Linked DNA regions of Drosophila melanogaster. The protein of the gene in region 3 interacts with the protein of the main gene of each other region in a pairwise test. Each region holds a gene or a part of one and is shown on either strand. Other genes may lie near its edges. The genes, in order: CG3224, Unr and BORCS5.

Evidence for each region.
Region 1: the proteins of BORCS5 (region 3) and CG3224 interact in a two-hybrid assay, tested with the Drosophila melanogaster proteins (one large-scale study listed by BioGRID).
Region 2: the proteins of BORCS5 (region 3) and Unr interact in a two-hybrid assay, tested with the Drosophila melanogaster proteins (one large-scale study listed by BioGRID).

The regions. Positions count from the first base shown.
Region 1 is NC_004354.4:6,659,962-6,663,285, reverse strand, and holds CG3224 (uncharacterized protein), read left to right. Parts: upstream 1-1,823; 5' UTR 1,824-1,932; intron 1,933-1,992; 5' UTR 1,993-2,113; coding exon 2,114-2,602; 3' UTR 2,603-2,734; downstream 2,735-3,324. UniProt on the Drosophila melanogaster protein: Involved in pre-60S ribosomal particles maturation by promoting the nuclear export of the 60S ribosome.
Region 2 is NT_037436.4:8,438,592-8,443,433, reverse strand, and holds the start of Unr (upstream of N-ras), read left to right. Parts: upstream 1-1,726; 5' UTR 1,727-4,842. UniProt on the Drosophila melanogaster protein: RNA-binding protein that acts as a regulator of dosage compensation in both males and females.
Region 3 is NC_004354.4:11,870,662-11,874,687, forward strand, and holds BORCS5 (BLOC-1 related complex subunit 5), read right to left. Parts: upstream 2,119-4,026; 5' UTR 1,886-2,118; coding exon 836-1,885; 3' UTR 638-835; downstream 1-637. Other genes in the region: CG15739 (uncharacterized protein), read left to right, coding at 2,840-2,842, 3,221-3,604, 3,726-4,026.

The DNA.
Region 1 (3,324 bases), 5.2 Mb from region 3:
GGAACCCCCTTTTCAGCGCCTCTGATAATTAAACAGCAGAAAACTAACGCACTGGGACCAAACCGGTTGGACCTATTCACCTCTATCACTCTCGCTTTTATTCGCCTGCATTAGTAGCTTTGCCTTTACACAGAGAGAAAAGCATTTGTTACTCTTATCATGAAATAAACCATTATCACTAAATATTGTTTAAGATTTGTATATTTTCTAGTTCTATTTTGGGCAAGTAATAATGAATAATCTGCGTTTACCAGTAATATTTCTATTATGCTAAATGCTAAGACTCAGCGAAATAGCTAAGATATTTTGATATAAGTTTGAAAATGGAATTTCACGACGTGATGAAGTGTGATTCATTATTCATATTATATTAAAGAATTAAAATAAGAATTGAATTAAAATTTAATTTAGTTCCAAATATCAAGTGAAATTTAAACGATCTAGCAACGTAAACTTTTTTCTTTCTGTTTATTTGCATGGACAAATGGCATTAACCGTTGCTTCATCTCATCAGCTGATCTCCGCCAAGAGAGCCCCATCCTCTGCTCCTGCACACACACACACACTCACAATCGCACCAATTGCGAAATGTCAAATCGTGACCGACATGTATTGCAGCAACAAATGGGAGAGAAACGGCGAGAGTGCGTGTGTTTTTTTTCTATTGCAGGCCGGGGGAGCTATTATATCACATGTGTAAAGAAAAGAGAGTAGGAGAGAGTTTGTTGATCTGAATTCGAACATACATATATCACTCAACGCACGAACACAGATAGAGGGTTAATTGTGCTTGTAACGGTATAATTGACTGATAAGCGATTGGCACTGATAATCACAATCGGTATGCAATCGCTGATTATCGATAAGGACTCCTAAGCTTTGTTTTTAGTTTCGTTTATACTATTTCACGCATTTCGCGTTCTTTTTGTTGTTGTTGTACTTACTGCAATTGGCGGGCAATTGGCTCGAGTTGTAACAATCTACAATGTATGTATGTATGTATGCTGTAACACCGGTTTAAGTGACGAACTCAACGGAATGTCTAGCTAAAAACAGAGAGTCAACGAAAAATGCCAATAAGCCAACAGTCGTACATTTTAAACAATGCATGCAGCTGCCGTTGACACCCACCCAACCCCCTGCACCAGTCATTTAACAACAATCACAGTTTCTGATTTTATTTTGTGCTTCGTTGTTGCTTTTTGCGCTAAATCACACACGCACACACACTCACTGCAAACGCTGAGCTTTTGAAGCAAGCGAGATAGCAAGAGTGGACCGGCTGCAGCATCTTATGAAAAATAATAATTGCTTTAATCGTTTTTGCAAGTGTAAAACCCGATCTATTTCACAGTGTTGTTATCCAATCACACATGTGTGTGTGCGTCCAGCCCACACACCCACTATTTGTATTATCAATTGCACTTTATCAACGCAAGTTAAACCGAACTCTATGTTTATGTATTCAAATGTTAGGGGCTTACTTTACTTCCTGCGGCAAGGAAATAAATAATATTAAAACAAAATGCGCACGGTCCGCCCGCAGACAACTTGTTCGCACGATTGTTGATGAATTAATTGCAAGCATATGTTTTTTTATTTAACAGTGCGCTGCCTACGAAAAGGCACTAAATAATGCCAAAAAATAGTATTGTAAAAGACGAAGTAGATGGAGTGCAGCTTAAAAATGAGTAACTTATACAACTTATTGTCGCAACAAGTAGCTAATTTATGGAATTTTAGTTTAATTAGTTTTGGTTGAATTTAGTTTTATTTCGAATAAATAAAAACAGCTGTGTATCAGTGTGCACACACCACGATTTCTTCAGTTATCGATAAGAAACCAATCGGCCGGGGACCGTCGCCAACATTCTATGTGCGCATTAAATTAACTTGTTACCTTTAAAACCCTCGTTTCTTAACCAAAAAAAGGTAAAGTTAAGCAACAAATTACTGTAACAGTATATAAATTAACATTCAAATGCATTACAGGTTTTAGGAAACACCTAGCAGCAGCAGCAGAATCTAAAACCCCATTGGCAACCAAAACACGTGCCAAAACAAACGATTAAATTTTCCGTAAAAGTTGTAAATATAAAAAAAAGTCAGCAAGATGGGAATGGTATCGAAACGCAAGAAGATGCACTATGGCGATACCCATCTGCAGAGGAGATGGCGTGTGCGGAATCGACGTCGTGATCTCGACCAGATCGACGACGATCTGCAGACCCGGAGCGGTGAACTGATCAATCAGAATGTGGATCTCGACAAGCCGGGATTCGCGCAGTTCTACTGCGTGCACTGTGCCAAGTACTTCATCGATGACACCGCCATGCAGGCACATTTCCGCACCAAGGTGCACAAGAGGCGTCTCAAGGCCCTAGAGATCGAGCCGTACAGCATCGAGGAGGCGGAACGCGCCGCGGGACGTGGCAGCTTCGTGAAGCCCAAGAAGCGGGCGATGGAAACGCAGCCATCGAAGGAGGACGTGGTCGCTGGCAAGAGGATCCGAGTGGAAGTGGTGCCCGAGGATACAGATGCCACCGATTCGCCATCGACGTCCAAAACGAAGCGCAAGAAAGTCGAGAAAATGGAGACATAGGCGAGGAGGATGAACCAATCTATTGATCTAGCTTAGTTTTTAAGGCCCTCGGGGACAGGACTTTCTTCACCCCCCTCCCACAGAACTCTGTTTACCTCCAATTGCTTTCTTTAAATACATTTTTTTTCCAACATATATAAATCGATTCAAAATTAATTTTCATTTAATGCGCGCAAGGGTGGCGAAAGATCAACAAGCTTCTAAACAACAAGCAGTTCAACGCTTCCAAGCGGCAAAGCTTTATTTACCGTTCTTTTGATTTCTCTCCTGCAGCTCAAAAGTTCAAGTTCTCTCCGCAAGCGGTCACTTTCTTCGTCCGTGAGCAGCGGTAAACACAAAATGCGATGGCTGACGCGCTTTAAAATTAAAATTAAATAAATATCAGCGTCGTTTGCTGTCGAAAAGTGCTACAAAGTGTAATTAACCAGTGAGCGCAGGTCGACGCAATGCGTTTGATACGGTATTTCTAGTTTAAACGGGTGAAATTGGTAAATTTCTGCAATTTCCTCATTCTCCTTTGGGCTCATTCTCCGTTGGCGCGTGTGTGGGTGTGTTGGTGCGTGTTCAACTGGCATTCTCATGTGCACTTAAGAGTATGCTACGTTTTAGAGCGGTGATCTTGTGCATTTTGCCATCGCGAGTGTTTTGTTGTGAAATGGCTCATCAAAATGTGAGAGTATTTGTGTTTTTTTTTATATTTTTTTTTAGGTGATTTGTGCTCA
Region 2 (4,842 bases), on a different chromosome or scaffold from region 3:
TCCAGGCAATTAAATAACCCTAAAATATGCAAAACCAGATGCAATTTAATGTGTGACCAAATCGAAGTGCTCGTAACGTAAAAATTATAAACATGATATTAAATCTTTTTAACTACAATTAGCCCGAGATTTATATTTAGCGAGGGCGTTTTGATAATCTATTCATGTTGATAACATTTTGCACTGTCGAATGTATAAAAGGCACCGTAACCAATTAACTAGATTTTGTAAATTGTAATCTTTAAAAATCTGTTCAAGGATAATCAATTTATCAGCATACATATGTATTGGATCCCATTATCATGCAAAATACCATTTAAGTTAATTATGGATTAAGCAACCAAGGAGCTGCTGAAATAAAATTCGTTAAAAGACCCAGGAAGACGTAAAACTAATGTGATTTTCTGTGGGCTGCTAAAAGGAATCTAAAAAAGGGATTTTTTGTGTTTTATGTTTTATGTGACAGAACTTCCGAAAATTAAGAATTAAACTAAGTGAATACACTTCTGCATTTTTGGGGGAATTCCAATTTTACAAAGATAATAACATATCTTCCATATTTATTTATCAGAACAAATAAAACTAGTTTCATTTTTTAAATCAATATATTGCCGCTTAATAAAAGGCGAAAAGATTTTGGGGTTGGCTTAAGTTAGAAATAGCTAGCGATGGTTCTTGTCTCGAATACGTACAGTTTAAAATTAAATATTTAGATGTAATTTTCTTAGTAATAATCCATTTAATTACATAAATTGCTTTTGTTTATTATTAAAACTAAGAATATTACATAAAAGTCACATACAATTCATATTTTATAATTTGCAGTGATAGCATAGAAAATGACATAGATGTATAACCCTGCACTTCTACTACTTTTAGACATTGCATTAAAGATAGTCCCTTTAACTGAATTAAAGTTAAATCGTTATCTTAGATAAGTTTTGATTATTTAAATATAGGAATAGAAAAGCTAAGAGATCCCTGCTCCTACTCCCATGACCACTGACGTCACAATTGTCCCTCTCTTCGCACACCTTCCAACACTGCCATCGTGCTGTCGGCAAATATGGCGCCCGCTAGCAGTTGTTGTGCTGTCGTGTGGTACGTGTGGCTGGTCCAGAAAATTCTCGTTCGCTTCAAATAGGACTATTATTTAACTCAAATTCGGAACGAAAATATGCAGAAAATGTGCCGCGAACAAAGCTGTGATGGAAAAATATGAAATGTGTTAGGGAAATTAGTTTTTAAATGGCGAATTAACGTTTTTTCGTTGCCCAGCCAGATTTTCTACGCTTCTGTGTGTGTGTGTGTGCGTTTGAGGGTACCAAATTTGCAGCCCGAAAAAAAAGTTGATGAAAATTCGTTTTTTTGCTACCAACTTGGCACTTCGGTGACTGTGCATGTGTGTGTGCAGTCTGCGGGGTTGCTAATTTTACGCTAAAAACCACAACAATAATGTGTAAAAATAGTTTACGATTGCAATTGCGTGTGCGTGTGTATGGGCGTGCATGTGTGTGTGCGTAGTAGGTTGCGCCAGTGTGTGTGCAATTTTTTCCGGCAGGCAAAAATCTCTCCATTTGCAACACTGAAAAATCGATAAAACTGCAGCAAGACTTTCGGTGTAGATTTCACTAGCCAAAAATAAAAGAAATAATAAAAAAGATGTATTAATTTTTCTTAATCGTTTCCACCTTTCTCTTTTTCTCATTCAACAGCTTTTGTAACTAAAACTCCGTTTTGACATCACTTTCATCATAATCTGAAAAAATAATAATAATATAAAAAAACAACAACAAATATGATAAAAAAATAAAAAAATCACCATCGAAAACGAATCAAAAAATAATACATACAAATATAAATCGCAAATAATTGAAAGTTACAGCAGAAATAAAAAACAACAACAACATAGCTCAAAAGGAAAAAGTCAAAGCAAAAACTTTTTAAGTTTTTTGGACTCTTCTTTGTTTTTGTTTCGTTTGCTTTGCAAAGAAAAACACACAAAACAGAAAAAACGAGAATTTTTACGCCGCCCGTCGGTGTGAGCGAGACAGACAGAGAGGGAGATAAAGCGACTGCGCAAATAAAAAAAGAAAACAAAACAACAAACAACATAAAAAACAAGCCAAGCTTGAAACGAAGACTTTCAAATAAAACAACAACAAAACCAACAACAAACCAAACAAATTGAAACGCTGTGAAATTAACTCGTCAATACTCAAAAGCACCAACAAATAAATAAACAAAAAGAAAAGCTAAAACAAAATAAAAGGCAAACCACGAAGGAGCAAGTAAAGCGGAGTTTAACAAGAAAACGGCAAAAGCACTGAAAACAAAAAAGCAACGGGAAACGAAACTAACGTGAAGTCAAAGGCAACGGCGCTGCGGCGTTCGGACTCTCGAATAAAACAAAAACAATTCAAGCAAAACCGCAAAACCTACACTTGGAAAAACGCTAAATAAATCCCAAATTCCTCATTATTTTTCCTGAAAAGCTTTAATTTAATTACGAATTTTTTGTTGTTAAGTCAGAGTGAATTCAATTTGCTAATTAATTTAAATTAAGACATCAACAACCGAGCTACAAAAGCAGCAACAACAACAAACAAACAACAACCAACAAACAACTGAATTAATGTTTTAAAGTACAAAATAACCGGGAGTAAATCAACAACAAATAATTTAAACATATTAAAAACGATTTAATTTAAAACGCAACATCAATCTAAATTATTTAACTAAACATAAAAACAAACACTGCTAGAATTTAAGTCCAAAAACAACTGATAAACGCCCACAAGGGCGAAAGGGAAGTGGGAGACAGAGCGATAAATGGAGGAGAAGCGAGGAGAGCTGAATAAAACCGATCAAGCAACAATTGTGCCGCAAAAAAAGTGTGAATAAAAAATATATACTAAAAAAATAACGGTAACAATAAAGAAAACATTTAAAACCAAAAATCTACAAGAATTCTATAAGTTTTAAGTCACGTTTTACACAGACCTACAACAACAACACCAGCAATTGAACTTAGCCAATAAATTTAATTAAAACAATAAATTAGTGAAAAAAAAATAAACGGATTAAGCCAATATATATAGAGAACGCATAACAAATTCAAAACTGCGGCCTTGTGCCAAAAAAACAGTTTTTATTTTTTCCAATAAAACATTGTTTTTTACTAGTTTTCAATTCAGATTTTTTTATAAGTGTACCTAGTGAGAAATGTTAAAAGTCTAAAACAGCAAAAGCAACTGCAACAAACGGAAGTAAAACGGAGAAAAGAAAAACAAAACAAATTCAAAGAAAGATTTAACAACTCTGTGATAATTACTGTAAATTTATAAATTTAAAGAAAAAAAAAAAACAAAAACCTAAAGAAAAACCACAAAAAAATCTCTAATTAAATGAAAGGAAAACCCCGTCATTTTTAACAGTAGGCGAAGAAGAAGAAGGAGCGAAAGAGGAAGCAGAAAGCAGAAAAACATCTTAAACCAACAACAACTTTACACTTAAGAGCAAATGCAAATGAAAAGATAAAAAACATTGAAACAAATTCGTGATATCTTAAAGGACTTCGATACATATATACTATAGTATATTATATATTATATTATATAAACTATTAAACTAAGCTTAAATCTAGTGAGCGTCAACCGAGAAAACAAAAACAAAACAATGGAATAAGTGAATAAACAACAAAACCAACCAACACAAAGCAAAAAATAAAAACCCTAGGTTATGAAAAGACTTCAAAACGCATTCAAAAAATATATATATTTAAACAAAACAAAATAAATCGTAGACTTAAAGTTCAACATAGTAAATGAGCGAGGATAACTTTACATAACGGGTGTCCTATATCTATTATATACATATATAAAAACAAAAACAAAAAAACATTAAAACTCATAATTTTTGCTTAGTGAATAGTAAATGAAACAGCAATAAAACAGCAACAAAACAACAAAAAAGAAAAAACAAATTATACAAATCGTGCAACCGAAAAGTAATAGCAACGTACAGCGAAACAAAATAGGAAATCGACACAGAAAGAAAGAAAGATACAGAGAGAGAGTGAGCGAGGAACCGGAAACGGAAGTCCCGAGAAGAGGAAGAAGGAGATTTAAACCTCGTCCCCCAAAAATCATCGTTGTACTAAAGGTATTCGAAAGTAAATAAAAAATCACTACTACTTCCTATAAACCACAACGATTGCCTACAAAATATATATTATATATATGTATACTAAATAGAAACCAATATAATCAAGCAAAACACACAAAATATTCAAATATCAAACAAAGCTAATCTAACCCAAAAGTAAAAAGTATTCCCAGTGTATTTTTCTAGTAAAACTAAAGTAAAAATATAAAAAAAAATCAACCAAATTCATTTCAAACAAAATGCAATAATTCAATAATAATTCAAAACTCGAACAAAAATAAAAACACCAACGGCAGCAGAGCTGGTGTGCATTTTCATCGTAAAACCACAATATTTTGAATACACAAAACAAACAAAAAAAATATTTCAAGAACAACAACTTTAAAAAGAAATACAACCTACAACAGACCCAGGAAGGAACTTCAAACTACCAAAACAAACCAACAACGTTACAATATTTGTCGGCATTTTTTACAAGAAATATAAAAACACAAAACAACAAGGAACACAAAAAACCAACAAACAAACAAACCAACAACAGCAAAGGAAAGCTAAGTAAAACAACCACATTTTTTGCGGGGAATGCCCTCAAGAAAAGACAAAAATTTTTATTAACTTCGAAGACAAGGAATTTCAGTGCCTCTTGTGCCAGTGTTTAGCCAAAATATATATACA
Region 3 (4,026 bases):
AATCAACCAACTCGGTACCATACCACCTCATTTTGTGAGAGCTGCATTTTGGGGCACTATATGCCCATACTCATCCTCCGCCTCGATTCACATTCAACGGTGTAGGCTAAAGGGTCTAAATATAATGTAAATGTACCATCCAGATGCTTGTGTGGAATTGTAATCGTGTGTATATGGAATGAAAAATGTTGTTTGCGTAGCGTTACCAAAAATAGTAATCAAATGTTTCACATTTGTTGTCCATAGTCGTATATGTATGTTTGTATTGTATTGTATATCCCTATATGCGATATTTACTCGTAGCTAGAATCTACTCTAAATCTAGACAAATTGTGTAAGAAGTAATAAATGTGCTTTTGACCGCTGTCTAATTGTTAATTGTAGTTGAAGACTTTATTGTTTGTATACATATATGCGGCAAGCATACGTAATAATATGCATTTGCATAAGAGAGAATACAGTGTATAAAATAAATATCCAAACCTTTAAATGGACAAATAAGGTCGTAAGCAAATTGGTTTCTTCCTTTATATGAGTTTCAAACGATAATACTGTGGTGAGATATCTATTGTGGTTGGTTGGCTGACCGAAAGAAAATTATCGCATTTGCAAAACTAGCCTCACTCCAATGATAAAGAATTATTTTTTCGTGATAATATAGAAAAATACTATTTGCATTTCGAGAAATAAAATATCAAATTGAGTTTAATATTAGGTTTGATTTACTAATTAAAAATCACGATTAAGCGGCATCGTTAACGAGTAATATACACAATAAATACACGATTATTATGAGCTAGGAAAATCTTTGGAGACCAATAAGTGTGTGGGGATCCTACAGCCGCCACAGGCGACTGCTGTTGCCTCCGATGGCGCCCTCAGCCTCGCCGCGCAGCTTGTTGTCGTCGGTGCGCCAGACGAAGGGCTCCAGGCGGTCCTCGTCGTCCAGGAAGTTATTGATCGCCTCCAGACTGGCTATGTTCTCGTGCAGCAGCGAGTTGCATCTGCTCAGCTGATGCGATATGCTCCGAATCTTGGCGAATTGCTCGGCGTACGAGGCGTACGTCTTCTGCATGTCCACGAATCCGGCAAAGAGGGTGGTGATCGAGTTGCTCACCACCTTGGTACGTTCCACGAGGTGATTCTGTTCGCTGGCCACATAGCTGGCGCACAGATTAAGATGTGTTTGCATGCGGGTACATATGTTGATCAAATGCTGCGAGTTTAGTCGCTCCAGAATCTCTGCATCTCGTGTATTGGTCGCCGACGTGATGGATTCACGGAGCACGGGCAGAAACTGCGGTATATTGCGCAATCGTGCCAAGTCCATGTCCACATCCTCGCCAGCATCGATGGCACCGGGACGCACAATCACTATATTATGACTAGAGGCCGTGGACTGTGGTCGCTTCGGTTTCACGGCGCTGGTGAGTCCACTCGGATGTGACTTCCTGGCCGCCGCACGGCTGGCGCTGCTCTGCTGGAGCATATGCGCCGGCTTGCTGCGTATCTTGGGCGAATCACCGATTGGCCGATCTGTATAGGACACATATGGCAGGTCGGAGCAGACGCTAAGCGGCGGCGAAGGCGGTCTGCTCAGTTCGGAGCCGCCGGGCGAAGCGGCCTCGGCGATGATCTGCTTGCTAGCTATCACAATGCTAGCTGGGCCCACTCCAGCTCCCGGGCCCACCACTGTTCCGCCTGCTCCTCCTGTCGTCTGCTGGCGATGACCAACTCCGCGTCGTTTGTTGGCCGCCGCCGTGGCCGCCAGCATCATGGAGCTGCCATCGCCGAGGGATCCAGTGCCCGCTCCTGGTGGCTGGCGTCCGTCGAAGATCTCGTGGCCATCGGCCTCAGCCCGCTGCTGCGAATGCTCGGCGCCCATTTATCGATCCGATTCCTGTCGATTCCGACTCCAAGTTCCGCGTACTCCTGGCCCGAATTTTGTGGTTAGCTGGCGCTGTCACTGTTGCTGTCCTGGGCCCACCTGCTGCTTCATTTCCAGTGGCCCAAGCCAGTCGATTTACACCTCAAAACAAATCGATGCCAAAGCCTCAAATCGAATCGCAACAAAGTCTCATTCAGGACCTAAAAATTTCCCAGCTGCCAGCTGAAATGCGCTAGTGCGTTTTTCGGTATTAAAGTACAGATAACGAGCTGTTTCCACTGCACGCTTGATGTCAGCTTTCAAATAGTAGGGGGGTTTACATATTCATTGAAATTCGGCTTTTCTTAAAAAAAAAAAAAAACGAATATAATAAAAGTGAAACTTTACTAAATAAATCATAAAACTATAAGCTAGTGATATTGAAATTATTACAAAATGTTCATATTAAATAGTTGTATATTGAAAGCTTCGGTTAGGTATTTTAAATACAGAAATACTAATTCTTTGGTTTTAAGATCTAGACATGGAGTTTAAATTTGAAGCCATAGCTTATAACTTTTAATTTCCTATCATTTCCTAGACTTTCTGTTGATAATTTTAAATATAAACACTATAACTTTTGTTTGCAAGCTCTTCTAATTTCGTTGTCTATTGTTTTGAAATCGAGCTCCACTTGGACTGTATAAGTAGGGGGATGTCGTTGGGGTTCAGATAAGACCAGGCGATAAGTGGAGAGCCCTCTCTTCCAATGCTTCCGTATAAGTTCACCAGTGTTTTGGTGGCCGTCGTCGTCGTTCTGCCGTTTGAGGTGCTAATTCTCAGCATGGGATATAGATTCTGTTTTGGTTTTGGTTTTGGTTTCGATTTCAGCTCGAGCAATATTCAGCAAAGTCAGTTGGCTGACGACCGTGATCGCGATAGCAACACTTTCACTCACCAGAACGGATTGCAATGGTGAGCAGGGAACAGGGCTTTGCTGGAATAATCTTATCGAGGTGCACCATCGATCCCCCTGCCTATTTGTTTTTTAAGTCTACGCATATACTATTATTATTATTTTCTGGGACTGCCATTTACAATTTTCCTATATTTTATACAAAAGTTTAACTAATGTTGGTCTAGGTCACGAATTACAACGCTAAAGATGTTTTGTCACCAAAAATGGAATTTTTCTTTTAATGCTAGAAGTTTTAAAAAGTGCTATAGATAAATTTCATTTTTTGTACAAAGCGCCGAACTTGTTAAGAATTATATAGTTTTTAAAAAAAATCCATTACTAGTTTTTTGAGTTTAATTATTGAATTAAATTTGAATTTTCAATTACAACCTTAGGCCAAACCCCAGCACATTTTGCAGCTAAGCCAGGAGCAGCGGAGCAGCGTTGTCGACTCTTTCGACCGGGTGGTCAGCGACATCGATGGCGTCCTGTGGACCTTTGAGCAGAGCATTCCGCGTGCCGCCGACGGATATGCCGCTCTCGAGCAGATGGGCAAGCATCTGACCTTCCTGACCAACAACAGCGTTCGCACGTCCGAGCAGTGCGTCAAACTCTTCGCCAAGATCGGGATGCAGGTGCACCCGGAGCAGATTTGGCATCCGGCCAAGTCCATCGTTAGCTATCTGCAGAGCATCAAGTTCGAGGGACTCATCTACATCATCGCCAGCCAGTCGTTCAAGACGGTGTTGCGCGAGGCGGGATTCCAGCTCCTGGACGGGGTGAGTGGTAAATAAGTTGGGTGAAGAGTGGTGCTGGTTTTCAGTGCTCCTGAATTTGAACAATCCAATAACCTATCTATGCATAGTTAAACTATATTTGATATACCAACTCTGCCTGTAGCCCAACGAGTTCATCGAGGAGAGCTACGCCAGCCTGGCCGAGCACATCTTTGGCAAGGAGCCCGTGCGCGCCGTCATCATCGACGTGGACTTCAATCTGACTTCCCCGAAGATTCTGCGCGCCCACCTGTACCTGCGCCATCCGGAGTGTATGCTCATTGAAGGCGCCACCGATCGCCTGCTACCGGTGGCCAAGGAAGTGAACATCGTAGGTCCGGGAGCCTTCGCCTCCATCCTCGTGGAGGCCAGTGGCAAGCAGCCGATTACGTTGGGCAAGCCTGGCCGCGAGTTGGGTGATCTGC